Linked DNA regions of Cricetulus griseus. The protein of the gene in region 1 purifies or fractionates together with the protein of each later gene. This does not show direct contact. Links are inferred from orthologs where the notes say so. Each region holds a gene or a part of one and is shown on either strand. Other genes may lie near its edges. The genes, in order: Spsb2 and Rnf7.

Region 1 (6,538 bases):
CCTATCATGAGCATTCAGAAGGCTATGGAATTGGTACAGGCCCAGCCGGGGCTGTGCAGTGAACAAAGGTCATCCTTCTGAAGTGAAAAATCGAGGAAAACAGAACCAAGAAAGTGAAGGCGTGAGAGCAAGCCTGGAGAGTAACGGCTTTCTTTGATCTCATTCTCAGAGGTGGTTTGTGCGCCCCCCGCCGCCTACATCGATTTTGTCAGGCAGAAGCTAGATCCCAAGATTGCTGTGGCTGCACAGAACTGCTACAAAGTGAACAGTGGGGCCTTCACTGGGGAGATCAGGTGAGATGGAGGCAGAGAGGGATGTAGAGGGAACCTTCCTTGTGGACCCTTGCTGAACCTTGGTGTTTATGTTTTAGCCCTGGCATGATCAAAGACTTAGGAGCCGAATGGGTAGTGCTAGGGCACTCGGAGAGAAGGCACATCTTTGGGGAGTCCGATGAGGTCAGTAAGCAGAGGAGGAGTTGGGAGATGCTTTCATCCGAGGCGGGTGGCTCACTGTATTTGTTCTTTGCCAGTTGATTGGACAGAAAGTGGCCCATGCCCTATCCGAGGGCCTTGGAGTGATCGCCTGCATTGGGGAGAAGCTAGATGAAAGGGAGGCCGGCACCACCGACAAGGTTGTTTTCGAGCAAACCAAGGCCATCGCAGGTATCTCAGGAGAAAGGGACCTTTGAGCCTAGCAAGGGCCACAGAGATGGGGTGGGGAGGTCAAAAACCCTGCAGCCTACCTGATATGTTGAGCCAGGAAAAGAGAGGGCAACTTGCATAGTCTTTGTCACTTCTGTTTCTGCAGAAGGTGGAAACCCTACCTTCAAAAGCCTCTAGGGGCTGGTGAAATGGCTCTGTGGGTAAGGGTGCTTATTGCCAAGCCTGAGAGCCTATTTGATCCTCCAAACCCACATGGTAGGAGAGAACCAACTCCTGCAAGTTGTCCTCTGTCCTCCGTATGTTTGCCTTAGCGCTCGCGTGAGCACACACACACAAATTGTTTAAAAAAAAAAAATGGGTGGAGAAAAAAAGCCCACCAGGAATTGCAAGCCATTTCTGTTACACCCTAGAGAGCTTAGCTGGGCAGCTCCTTCCTCTTCACAGTTTTCTCCCTGATCTTCACCCTGCAGATAATGTGAAGGACTGGAACAAAGTTGTCCTGGCCTATGAACCTGTATGGGCCATTGGTACTGGCAAGACTGCAACACCTCAACAGGTAACTAATTGCCGAGAAGCCCCATCCCCCCGTCCCCCCCGTCCCCAACTCAACAAAAAAAGTGACTTGCCAAGGATGTTTTCCCTGTCTGGGATTGGAGCCTTGCTATTCTGATCCCAAGACTTTTCCAGAAACTAAACCCTCCATACAAGCACCAATGGGTTGCTTGTTCTCTTTGAATGAACAGGAAAGGTCTTACTTAGTGTACCTCTTCTTTCTAGGCCCAGGAAGTACACGAGAAGCTTCGGGGATGGCTGAAATCCAATGTCTCTGATGCAGTGGCTCAAAGCACCCGAATCATTTATGGAGGTGAGGGGGTTTGGCTCCAGCCAAGGTGGAAGTGGGCTAAGATAGACTGAGGCCCCACAGAGAGGTGGGGCCTCCGTGGACTAATCCTATCCCTGACCAAACCATCTTCCTGTTAATGTTACAGGTTCTGTGACTGGAGCAACCTGCAAAGAGCTGGCAAGCCAGCCTGATGTGGACGGCTTCCTTGTGGGTGGTGCTTCCCTCAAGCCTGAGTTTGTGGACATCATCAATGCCAAATGTTAAACACCAGCATCTTCCCTACCCTCCGCTAGGCCAGGATTAGGTTGCCCAGGAGCTTAGGAACTGCTCCCACAAGTCACATGCTTCTGATGTCATCGCCCCATCTTGTTTGCTAATCCACACTGTACCTTCCTACACCTTTGACACCTCCCTATAAAGGTTGGGACCAGGCCAATCCCTTTACCACTTACAATGAATGAAATAATGTCACCTATTTCACCAAAGTGGCTTCCTGGCTGGCGGAGCGGAAGAAGCGCAACTGACTGTCCCTTCAGGTCCTCACCAGGGCAGGAGAGTAAAACCACCTTCCTTTTCCTTCTCAGTGTACACTTAGGCCAACGTCCTCTTGCTCTGAGAGGCCAGGGGTGTCCCATCTCCCACAATGCCGAAGCCCTAGTACTGTGTTTGTGAACCATCTTACATGTAAAGGAAATAAACACCTGGCCCCAAGCTTTGTAGTTTGTCATCTTCATTGCATGTTTTCACGGGGAAAGTGGCATAACAAAAACAAAACAGGCTGTGACAATACATCTCAGTTTTTACTTGAAAAACATCTTTTGCACCAGGCTGCCACAGCCTTTAATTTCACTTCCACGTCTCGCCCCTCTATAAGGGTTAGTGAAGGGGTCCAGCCTCTTCTCCCCTCAGCTTCACTGGTTTTGTCTAGGCCAATCGATGGTGCCTCTCCACCTGTCCCCACGGTACTGAGGATGACCAGGTGCCTGTACCATCTGGTGCTTCAGGGTCATTTGTAGAGCAGGTAGCGCTTCATGGCAGGGGGCAAAGGCAGAGTGGATATTTGGCCAAGCCGGGTATCTCCCAGCGCATGGCGCACACACAGACGACTCAGATGCAGAAGGGATTGTGGTTCCTCGGCTGAGAGAAAAGGAAGGCAAGGTCAGTAGAGGCACAACTCCAGCCAGACATCCTCAAACTCAGGCTCCCCAATTCTTTTCCTCCAATTCTGCCTCCATCTGCCTCACAGCTCAGGGAGATCTAAGGCTCAGAATTTCTGCATCACACATCCAGTTAAGGCCCGGGAGCGAAGCTAGAGCCAAAGCCATCTAAGTGGCAAGCCAAAGTGATATGAAGCCCCCTTTCCTGTGGGCCAAGCATGAGTTTCCATCCCAAACCATTTGCCCAGAGTGGTAATTCTCTCCCCACACCTACTCCAGGTCTCACCTCTTCTTTGGCCCATGTAGCGGATGCGGACCTGGCACTGGCCCCAAACAGCGCTTACACAGGGATAGAGGGTCCTGCCCTTCAGTCCACGGAAGGCCGGTCCCAGGTAGGTGCCCCCAACAGAGTAGCCCAGAGTCCCCTCCTCCATGTCGAGAACCACCAACAGTCTCTCTGGCACCACTAGCTGCTCACCCTGAGGTCCAGCTGGGTACTGGGGGGCCTCAATGCCCTTACTCTGATGATACAATTTTCCCCGCCCAATATCCCAGCCCCAGGACTCGCTGTTGCTGCCCAAAAGCGCCGCATAGTGGTCGACCTGCAGCGGGGCGAGGGCGGTGGCCACGCCCACCACGGCGTGTGTGCCCCTCTGCTCCAGGGGCCAGCTGATCTCCCAGGCATGCAGGCCCCTCGAGTAACCCCTCTTTCCCCGGACTCCATCAGTGCTTTGGGCCACGGGGCGCCGCTCAAAGCACAGCCCCCCTTCCTTGACGTCGATGTTCTCGGAGCAATCCTTGGGGTTCCAGCCGTGGTGTCGCTGGGCCCCTAGGTCAGGAGGGGGAGCAGACAGGAGCTCCTCCAGGCCCTCGGGAGGAGAGAAGTCAGGGTACAGAGCCTGCGAGGTGGGGGTGCTGCTGCTGCCCCTTGCAAGGGCCGTCTGGCCCATGAGGTGAGCAGCCGGGGGGGACCCTCCAAGCGGGCTTGCTGGGGAGTCTCTCTTCTGAAAGTTGGACTCCCGATCGTGCCCTGGAGCGGTGTGGGGAGAGAAGGGACTGTGAGGCGCAGCATCTTCCCCTAGCGCCTCCGTCATCCCTTCACCCGGGTGTGACCACCAGCCTGCTCTTGGTCCCCCAACCCTGCTTTCTCCCCATCTGCGCCGGGCTCCCCCCACCCAAGTTTCTCCCTAGTTCACCCCCCCGCCCCAGACTTCACCATGGACCGTCGCCCTTGCCGTCCCTAACGCTCGCCCTCTCCCCCGCACCTCGCTGGGCTCGCCAGCCGGCAGGGACCTCGGCCGAAGCCCGGCTAGACAGGGGTAGGCTGGGCGAGCGCTCGCGCCCCTGGCCCGCGACTGCTTCCGGCTCCAGCGGGGATGCAGGACGCCGGCCCGCGCCCCGCCCCCGGCCCGGCCCGCCCCCGACCCGGCCCCGCCCCCAGGCTCTTAGGTGGTTGACCCTCACGTCACCGCCCAGACCACGCCCGCCACGCCACGCCACGCCCCCCGCGGGAACCTCACTGGCTGCAAGGAATCGAGGCAAAGAATCTGCGGTGACGCCAGTCGTGGACGGGCGCGCGTGTTTTGTGGAGCCCACTCTGGGCGGGCGGGCAGCCCTCTTGTCCCCTCCCAGGACTCGATCTTCCCCGTCGTGGGGCTCCTCCCCCCCGCAGTTAACCTTTGCGATGCCACCTGACAGCTGTGTGCCCCGCCCCAGCCCCTCCCCCGCGTCCGCGGCTGGAATTAACCCTTTGATGACATCATCGCCTTGGATTCTCTGGGGAGCGTGTTCTCCACTGGAGACCTTTGTGCTGCCTGGGCGAGTCATCCCCCAGGCCCTTTGGGGCAGAGAGGCATTGACACCCTTCCGGAACTACTGCTCCCATTCCGTAGAACGTAGGGGCTATGTTTGCCCCCTGAGTTTCCTATGTTGCTGAAGCGGTAGCCGGTCATCCTCCTGCCCCAGCCTCCTTCGGTAATGAGACTGCTTAGTGGGTGTGCTTCAAGGGTTACTTTTGAGTGAACGGAGATCACTAGCTGCATTATCGTGGGGGGAGGTTGCCGTTGACATTTGACCTCCTCAAATGTCTATTGATAACAATTCAAATATCCCATAATGCTACAGGTAATTTTAACTTTTGTTCCCGACGGTGGCTCACTCTGTAGCCTTGACTGGCTTAGAACGGCCTGGGCATTGGTCGGCCTGCCTCTACCTCCTAAATTTTGTAATTAAAGGAGTATTCCACCGTGCCCGGCCTGTTTCTAACTTCTTGTTTGTTTGTTTGGGTTTGAAAAGGTGTCGTGTTGCCCATCCTAGGACAAAATTGGCTATGTAGCCAAGAGCAGGCCTTGAATTCCTGCTCCTCTTAGCTCGGCTTCACGCACTAGGATTATAGGGGTATGAGTCACATCATGGCTAATTTTAACTTTTTAAAATTCAGATGTGGGCCTGCTGAGATGGCTCAGTAGTTAAGAGCACTGGTTGCTTTTAGTTCATGTTCCGGCACCCATATGGCAGCTCACGACCATCTAGTTCCAGGGAGTTTAATGCTTTCTTCTGACTTCTGCACAAATGCGGCACAGACACATTCATGGAAAACAAATAATATACATGTAAAATAAAGTTTGGATTGTTTGTTTGTTTGTTTGTTTGTTTCAAGAAAGGGTTTCTCTGTGTAGCCCTGACTGTCCTGGAACTTGCTTTGTAGACCACGCTGGCCTTGAACTCAGAGATTTGCCTGCCTCTGCTTCCCAAGTGCTGGTGTATGCCAGCAGGCAAAACAAAATAATCTTTTTAAAAACAGGTTTGGATGTAATAATATGCTACCCTAAGTTGCCCTATTATATGTGATTGTTTCTTTTTGGGTGCTAGAAATTAAATTGAAGTCCTATATACTAAGCAAGCATTGCTTTACCATTGAGATATACCTCCAGTGTTACTCAGTGAATTCTGTGTGTGTGCACATACTTGCTTGACCACCACCAAAAGGGTAAAAATAAAAACAAAAACTTTGCTGGCATTGCAGAATACTTTTTCTTACTCTTTCCCTGATACTCCAAAGGGTATGACATCCATGAACATAATTTAAAAATCTTTTTTGAAGGGGAATCAGGATTTGTAGCTCTGTAGAACGCACTGCCAATGGGTCTGGAAGAAGATGAAAGGTCATTAGTTGCTTTCCAACCAAGGCTTAAAGTTTCTAGTTGGGAAACAGAAACACAGTTGGGCATTTTCCCCTGGAAGATACCTCATTCTGGAAGACAGTGCTTTTGCCAGTGACACTAATGAACTAGGTGCATTTGTTGCCCCTTCCCCCAGACACAGCCTTATTCATAGTCTGCATGTTTTGCAGGTTGAAGTCATTTCTAAAACTGTGAGTCCATCCTTGGCTAGTCTTGAACTCCTTCCATCAAAAGGCTATCTCCTCTAGTAGGAGGTTTGAATTGCAACTTAAGACAGAACCTTAAGAGGGAAAAAAACTCACTTTCTGAGTGCATGCAGGCATGTATGTCTGTGTAACATGCCCTTTCTCGGCGTCCAAGGAAGCCAGAGAAGGACACATAAGCCTCTGGAACTGGAGTTACAGTTTCGAACTACTGTGTGGGTGCTAGAACCAAACACTGGCCTCTGCAAGAATGCCAAGGGCTCTTGCAGATGGTTTAATCTTGGAGCCACCTCTCCAGCCTGAAGACAAAACCTCCCGTTTTGTTTCATTCTGTTAGTCCTGGGGGATCTATCCATAGCCTCATGCCCATACTCTACTACTGAGCCACAGGCTCACCCTGAATCAGAGTGCGTTCTTGACTTTTATGTAGCCTCGTATGCACTGCTGAGCATTTCTGGTTCGTGTCTTCCAGCAATAGATGCCATAAATC
Region 2 (7,069 bases), on another chromosome or scaffold:
AATAGATTTATGGGGTTCCATTTATCTTAAATTTCCTATAGCACCCTGTGGTGGTTAGTTTTTTGTCAATTTGACACAAGGGTCATCTTGGAGGAGGGAACCTCAATTGAGAAAATGCCTCCATTGATTGTAGGCAAGTCTGTGGGGGCATTTTCTTGACTAACTATTGGTATGGGAGAGCCCAGGCCACTGAGGGTGGTGGTGGATCTGGGCAGGTGGTCCTAACTTGAATAACTAAACCAAGGGCTCTCGCCAGTAAGCAGCATTCCTCCATGGTCCCTGCCTCAGTTGCTGCCTCCAGGTTCCTTCCCAACCTGAGTTCCCTCGGTGATGGACTGTAATCTAGATGTATGAACCAGTTCCTCCCAAAGTTGCTTTTGATCATGGTTTTCAAAGCAAACTAAGACATCCCCCCTTCACCTTTTCTTAACCTTCCTTTTCCTTATACAGCTGGTATACAAACTCTAAATCTAGACTGCCTTTTGTCTTTTCTGTGAATTCTACTTATACAAATAAAAACCCGCCTTTTCTCTTGCTAGCCTTCTTGTCTGTGTGACTCACAAGCCAACAAGAACTGAATTTAAGAGGGCTTGGAGAGTGTTTCCTCTTTAACCACAGGAAAGACTGTTTTCATAAAGATGAATGGCATGAAGGAATGAGAAAATGAGGACCAAAGAAATAAACAATGGAAACATTCACTTGTGATGGGAATAAGATTCTTCCCGAAGGGCTTAAACGTGTTTGCATTAAAGGGAAGTCTCTGAAGCAAACCCAAGCATCTTTTCAATGTTTGGAACAAAGACTCTCCTACAGAGGAGGAGAAGTGATCATAGTAATGCCATCCTGTCCTGACTGTATTCCCTTAGACAGTTCTCAGCCCTCTACCCAAACCCACTCCCACAATGGTCACATCTACCCTGCTGACACACTTGAATTTCCATGGCCTTGCCCATGGTCCAGATGTGTTAACCAAAATAATTGACATAAACTAGAATAATTGAAGAAGATCTAAGTCAAAAATAATTTTTGTGTTGTGTCTGAAGTAAACTTCTGCCAGGAATGAATGTTTCAAGGTTACTTTGTCATGTGAATTATGGTCTTTGTGATTTTTGCATTTAAAAACACTATAACCCTCCCTGAGCTTTGAGACCAAGTGACTCTAAGGCATGAGGTTAATCTTAATTGTAAGAGGGCCCCCAAGACCTTAGCACAACTGACTCCATGATGGAAGTACCATTCAGGCTACATAATGAGTCCTAGGCCAACTTGGTTTAAAAGATGAAACTGCCTCAAAGCAAGCAAATAAACGGATTTGGATTTCAGCTATCTTTTCCATAAACAAAAGCCTTTGCAGATCCCAATACCCACGGCTGGTGGTGCACACTTTTAATCTGAGCAGCAGAGGCAGATGGACCTCTGTGAATACAAAGCCAGCCTGGTTTAAACTGTGAGTTCCAGACCAGGTGGAGCTACATAGTGAGACCCTGTCTCAAAACAACAAACAAAAGCCCGGGGTGGTGGCCCACACCTTTAGTCCCAGGTTTGGGAGGCAGAGGCTGTCGGAACTCTCTGAGTTCTAGGCCAGCCTGGTCTACACAGCTAGTTCCAGGATGGCCAGGACTACACAGAGAGGCCCTGTGTGGGAAAACCAAAACAAGGCAACAATAAACAAAACCATGACGAAAAAGTTAAGGTCCTAATAAATTTGAAGTGTAAAGAAATCCAACAAATAAAGAAATAAAGAAATAAAGAAATCCAAGATGCGGGGCATAGGGGTACACACCCTTAATCCCAACACTCCGGAGGCAGAGACAAATGAGTCTGTGAGTTCAAGTCCAACCTAGTCTTCAGAGAGTTCCAGGCCAGCCAGGGTTACATAGTGAGAAAAACCTTATTAAAAATAAATAAATAAAAAAGCAGAAGGAAGATAAAGAGAAGAAAATGGAAGGAAGGAAAGAAAAAGAAAGAAATAGAAATCCAAGACTCCCATGCCCAAATTGAGACCCACTGAACCGGATTCCTGGATCTCTAAAGTCGTGACTTGTACCAAGTCACACACACCTCCTGTGGCCAGGCTTTTTGTAAGATATGGAGGTTACGGTGATGGAAGAGCCTTTTCTCCCTACTCTGATAGTTCACATTTCGGAGAGAGGAGTCTAATGAAGGCAGAAACAAGGTGATTTCCGAGAGCTCCGGGTTTGGTAAAGAAGGACGCAGGGCAAGGCTCTCTCACTGTCCTCTGCCAGCTCTGCAGTAAACGCCCGAGGCCACCACGGACGATCAGCAGGCCCCGCCCCTCCCGCGTGACGTCAGCGGGCCGCGCCAGGCCATCAGCGCCGCCTTCCTCTGGCTGCGCGGCGGGACCTGCGGGAGGCGCTGTGGCGTGCATTTGGGCCCTAGTGAGCCGCCATACCTCCCGCCTCAGCGCCCAACGTCCGCGTCGCCGTTCTGCGCCGCCGCCATGGCCGACGTGGAGGAGGGCGAGGAAACCTGCGTCTTGTCCTCACACAGCGGGACTGCGGGCTCCAAGTCGGGGGGCGACAAGATGTTCTCCCTCAAGAAGTGGAACGCGGTAGCCATGTGGAGCTGGGACGTTGAGTGCGATACCTGCGCCATTTGCAGGGTCCAGGTGATGGGTAAGCAAAGCGCTGCACGCGAGGCCGGGGCCGTGACGCGGCCTGCTGGGCGAGCTTCGCGGGCGACGGGGGGGGGGGGGGGCGAGCTGCCCGCGCTGGGTGAGTCCTGCGGGGAGGGGCGGGGGGCGTGGCCGAGGAGACAGCTGGACCGTCTCTCGGAACCCGTGGGAACCTCCGGGGTTGTGTTGGTAGCCCAGCGGCCCGCAGACCTCACAGCCGAGCCCTCTCGTGGATCTAAGCGTTCATTTAATTAATTAACTAATTAATTGATTAGTTAATGATTTTGGGGGGGAGAGACGCTCATGTTTCCCAGGCTGGCTTGGAACTTGCCCATTTAGCCGAGGTTGGCCCTGAACTCCTGGTGCCCCTGCCCGCACCTTCCAAATTCTGGAGATGACGAGCCTGCGCCACCGTGCGGATCTTGTTTCATGGCTCTGTCGCCACCGAAATGATGCGCAGCCATTTGTATGGGTTCTCTGCAGCTATTTGGCTGGCTTTTAAAATTTACATTGACCGAGTCAGATAGAGCTCGCATGTCTTGAGGCGAGGGACAAAAGAGTATTTTAGATTTATGGGAATCCAAGGATAGAAAAGCCTTTGCTTGATTCAGAAACATGAAACTTAATTATGTCCCCTTCCCACCCTTTTGTGCCCTTTCGAAGAACCTTCTTTCATTAGTAGTCCATTTTTTTGTTTGCCTGTTTTTTCGAGACAGGGATCCTCTGTATTATTTTGGAGGCTGTCCTGGAACTTGCTCTGTAGACCAGGCTGACCTTGAACTCACAGAGATCCTCCTGCCTCTGCCTCCCAAGGTGTGCACCACCAACGCCTGGCCTCATTAGTAGTCCAACATTTTAGTATTTTGAACGAAAATGTTGGACCAAATGAAACGTATCAAAAAATCGTAATCTCGTTGAGTTTTACATAGTTTAAGAGCTCAGCCCACCTTGAAAAGAACCCTGTTTCTGTCAGTTTCTCTTGGGGGGGGGGGGGCCTGGTGGTTGTTGACAGGGTTTCTCTGTGCTGACCAGGCTGGTCTCAAACTCAGATAACCGCCTGCCTCTGCGTTTCTAGTGCTGGGATCAAAGGCGTGTGCCACCATCGCAGCTCTTATTTATTTCTCTTTTAGACTCATTCAGTCTTGTATAGTCCAGGGTGGCCTTGGACTCCAGATCTTCCTGCTTCCTCCCAAGCGATGAAATTTGTAGAAATGTCTGTGGCATGATGGGGATTGAATTCCTTCAGGCTAGGCAAACTACCAACTGAGCTGCATCCCAGCTTAACATAGGTTTCCAAAGTGTCGGTTAACACCTGTAATGCTCTGGAGGCCGAAGCAGGAGAGTTTGAGACCAGCTTCCAGCAAAAACAAAAAAACAAAAAACCAGGGGCTGGAGAGATGTTTCCGAAGAGTGAAGATTGTCCATACAGATTTCCCACACCCACATGGCAGTTCACAACCCTCTGTAACTTCAGTTCCAGTTTATCCAACACTATTCTGGCTTCAGAGGGCACTAGACACATACGGTGCATAAATGTATGCAAGTAACATAAATTATGTGAGAGTTTATTAAATTGCTGTGGGCTGCAGAGATGGCTCAGTGGTTAAGAGCATTGACTGCTCTTCCAATTCCAGGGAATTGGACTTGAGTTTAATTCCCAGCACCCACATGGTGGCTCACAACCATTTGTAATGCCAGTCTTAGAGACCTGAGGCCCTTCTCTGTGGGCATTGCATAAACATGGTACACAGACACACAGGCAGGCACAACATGCATACACATAAACTATTAACTGGGAGTTGGTGGTGCGGGCCTTTAGTCCCACCACTCGGGAGGTGAGGCAGGATCTCTGCCTTCGACAATTCTAGCATTAGAGTTCAGAGACCACCAGAGCTGGAGCCAGGCACAGGTGTGTCATGTGCTTGAGCCAGTGTGAGAAGAGGGAGGGAGTAGTTTCAATCCACACTAGATGTTTATTTTTATTATTATTTTTTTTAACCTTTTGAATGCCTCTAGCCCTGGTACTAGCAACACATTGTAACAAAGCTAGTTGTGAACTCACAGGGGTCCTCCTGCCTCGGCCTCTTTCTTTCTGGATCTGGAGAAATGGCTCAGTGGTGAAGAGCACATACTGCTCTTAACATACTTAGCACCAAAGTTGTGCAACTCACAAACTGCTAGTAACTCCAGCTCCATCGGTATCCAGAACCTCAAGGGCACTTGCATGTATATACCCACATTTAGGCACACATACATAATTAAAAACAAGCCTTTTCTGTCAGTGTGAGCCTCCTTTTACCTGATTTGCACTGCTTATACATTTAAAGAATGAATCAGTTTCATTGGTCCCTAAAGTATTGTACAGATTGAATTTTAGAAACTTGTAGCATACTCTTAGGTTTCCATTTCTAGTGTTTACACTTAAGTAATTTATTTAAGTACTTTGGCATTGTGTGAATACATTGAGGATTGGGGGTTCGGGCCTTCCTAGGCTACATAGTTTGAGGCCAGCCTGAGCAACATGAAACCCAGTCTCAAAACAAAGGAAAGGAATTTTGCTTACAAAAAAAAAAAGAAAAAAGAAAAGAAAAAAAAAAAACCGGCACATGCCTGTAATCCCAAACTTTGAGTAGAGGCAGGATTTTAAGGTCATCGTCTGCAGTGTGGCAGTTCAGGTTAGGGCTAGCAGGGGCTGTGTGAGACCCTATCTCCAAAACAAAAACCTTTATTGATTCCTCAGCGGATTCTAGATCTTTATGTGTGTATGAACAAATAATGAATGAGTATAATCACAATTGTGTCTAACGGTTGGTCTGTGTGAGTGAGCAAGCTGGTGAGCTTACAATAATTTGTTATGGTATAGTTGGCATCTTTGAGTGACTTTCTCTAATGCCACTGCCAAACTATCCTGACATATGAACTTGTAAAAATCATCATTAGCCCTTGTGAAACATTGGTCATAAGTGAATTAGTAGAATGCCATGTATTTTATTTCTCTTTAAGTAGTTATTTTTAGATGAGAAACTAATAATACGAGACTCTTATCTTCATCTCTGATCCTCGGGGCTTTTGTTTGACTTTGAAGATCTGGGTTTCCAGTGTTGCCTCCTGTACCTCAGATGAGATTTGCTTTGTTTGCTTTTAGATGCCTGCCTCAGATGTCAAGCCGAAAACAAACAAGAGGACTGTGTTGGTATGTGGTAATTCTTCCTCCTGCCTTTTCAATTGGAGGTTTTCTTCCATCTCTGTGGGAATATTTGAATTTAGAATTAAAATTGACTTTATTAAACTGGCCTCGATAACCCAGGCCTGTAAACCCAGAACTGGGAAGGCTGAGGCCAGCTTTCGCTATGTAGTGAGATCTGTTTTCCAAAAAAGAAAAGAAAGAAATGGCTTTGTCAGTACATAAAAAACCATAAAGCAGTAATTAATTATTATTACACATACTCAGACATTTTAGAGGCTGGTAAGATGGCTCGAGGGTAAAGGTCCTTGACTCTTAGACCTGATGACCTAAATTTGATCTCTAGAACCCACTTAAAAATGAAGAGAGCTGACTCCACAGAGGTCCTCTGACCTCCATGGGAAGCTGTGGCATGCATGCCCTATCCTATACACTCAATTAGAAATAAAAACAAAATCAGAATTAAAACTAAAAGGGAAAGAATTCACCCATCTTTCTAATAAATGTTTTAGTTCCCAAAAAACTTAAATGAGATCAATTTACTAAGCAGAAAGAAATACATTTTCTGCTAAGAAAACCACAGGGCCAGGAGTGGTGGCACACACCTGTATTCCCAGTGGATTGCAGGAAGGTCACTGCAAGTTGGACACCAGCCTGTTCTATCTTATTGAATTCCAGGCAAGTCATGGCTGTGGAGTGAGACCCTGTCTCAAAAACAAAAAGAAAAGGAGGAAGTAGCACAGAAGGGAGGGAAAAAAGAAAGAAAGACAGATTTCAAGACTTGAGCATGTTGCCTACATCTGTAATCCCAGCACCTTGCAAGCCTGAAACAGGGCAATTACCATAGCCTACATAGTGAATTCCAGGCCAGCCTGGGCTGTATAGCAAGGCCCTATCTCAGCAAAGAACCCTGATCACAAGGGGATGCCTCTCCAGCCACTCTGCAAATCCAGCTGTCAGGTGAGGAGCTGCACTGCCTGCTGGCATGGTAACTTTTGGATTGGTTGACTGCTTTTGGGTTTTGGTTTCCATGTGTGGTCCTGACTTGACACTTGCTATATAGTCAAGTCTGGCCTTTCACTGATCCATTCCCTGTGTTGGGACTTCAGGACCACACCCAGCTGGAAGCATAATTCATCACTTCTAGAAAAACAGCTCAGTAGATGTGCCATCAATATCTGATGATGCTTCCATGCCTACTATCTGTTCATAACAGCCCCTATAAGCTGAGAGCTTATAAAATGTTGTAT

What was found.
Region 2: the proteins of Spsb2 (region 1) and Rnf7 purify together in Homo sapiens (co-immunoprecipitation; 3 studies listed by BioGRID and IntAct, with this or other methods). This does not show direct contact. The link is inferred for Cricetulus griseus from reciprocal best matches to the Homo sapiens genes SPSB2 and RNF7.

What each region holds. Positions count from the first base shown.
Region 1 is NC_048601.1:21,604,682-21,611,219, forward strand, and holds Spsb2 (SPRY domain-containing SOCS box protein 2), read right to left. Parts: upstream 4,050-6,538; 5' UTR 3,929-4,049; exon of another isoform or gene 3,880-3,928; intron 3,694-3,879; 5' UTR 3,614-3,693; coding exon 2,950-3,613; intron 2,644-2,949; coding exon 2,513-2,643; 3' UTR 2,288-2,512; downstream 1-2,287. Other genes in the region: Tpi1 (triosephosphate isomerase), read left to right, coding at 170-293, 371-455, 530-662, 1,133-1,218, 1,440-1,527, 1,652-1,770. UniProt on the Homo sapiens protein: Substrate recognition component of a SCF-like ECS (Elongin BC-CUL2/5-SOCS-box protein) E3 ubiquitin-protein ligase complex which mediates the ubiquitination and subsequent proteasomal degradation of target proteins.
Region 2 is NC_048597.1:205,068,784-205,075,852, reverse strand, and holds the start of Rnf7 (RING-box protein 2), read left to right. Parts: upstream 1-2,367; 5' UTR 2,368-2,461; coding exon 2,462-2,636; intron 2,637-5,780; coding exon 5,781-5,828; intron 5,829-7,069. UniProt on the Homo sapiens protein: Catalytic component of multiple cullin-5-RING E3 ubiquitin-protein ligase complexes (ECS complexes), which mediate the ubiquitination and subsequent proteasomal degradation of target proteins.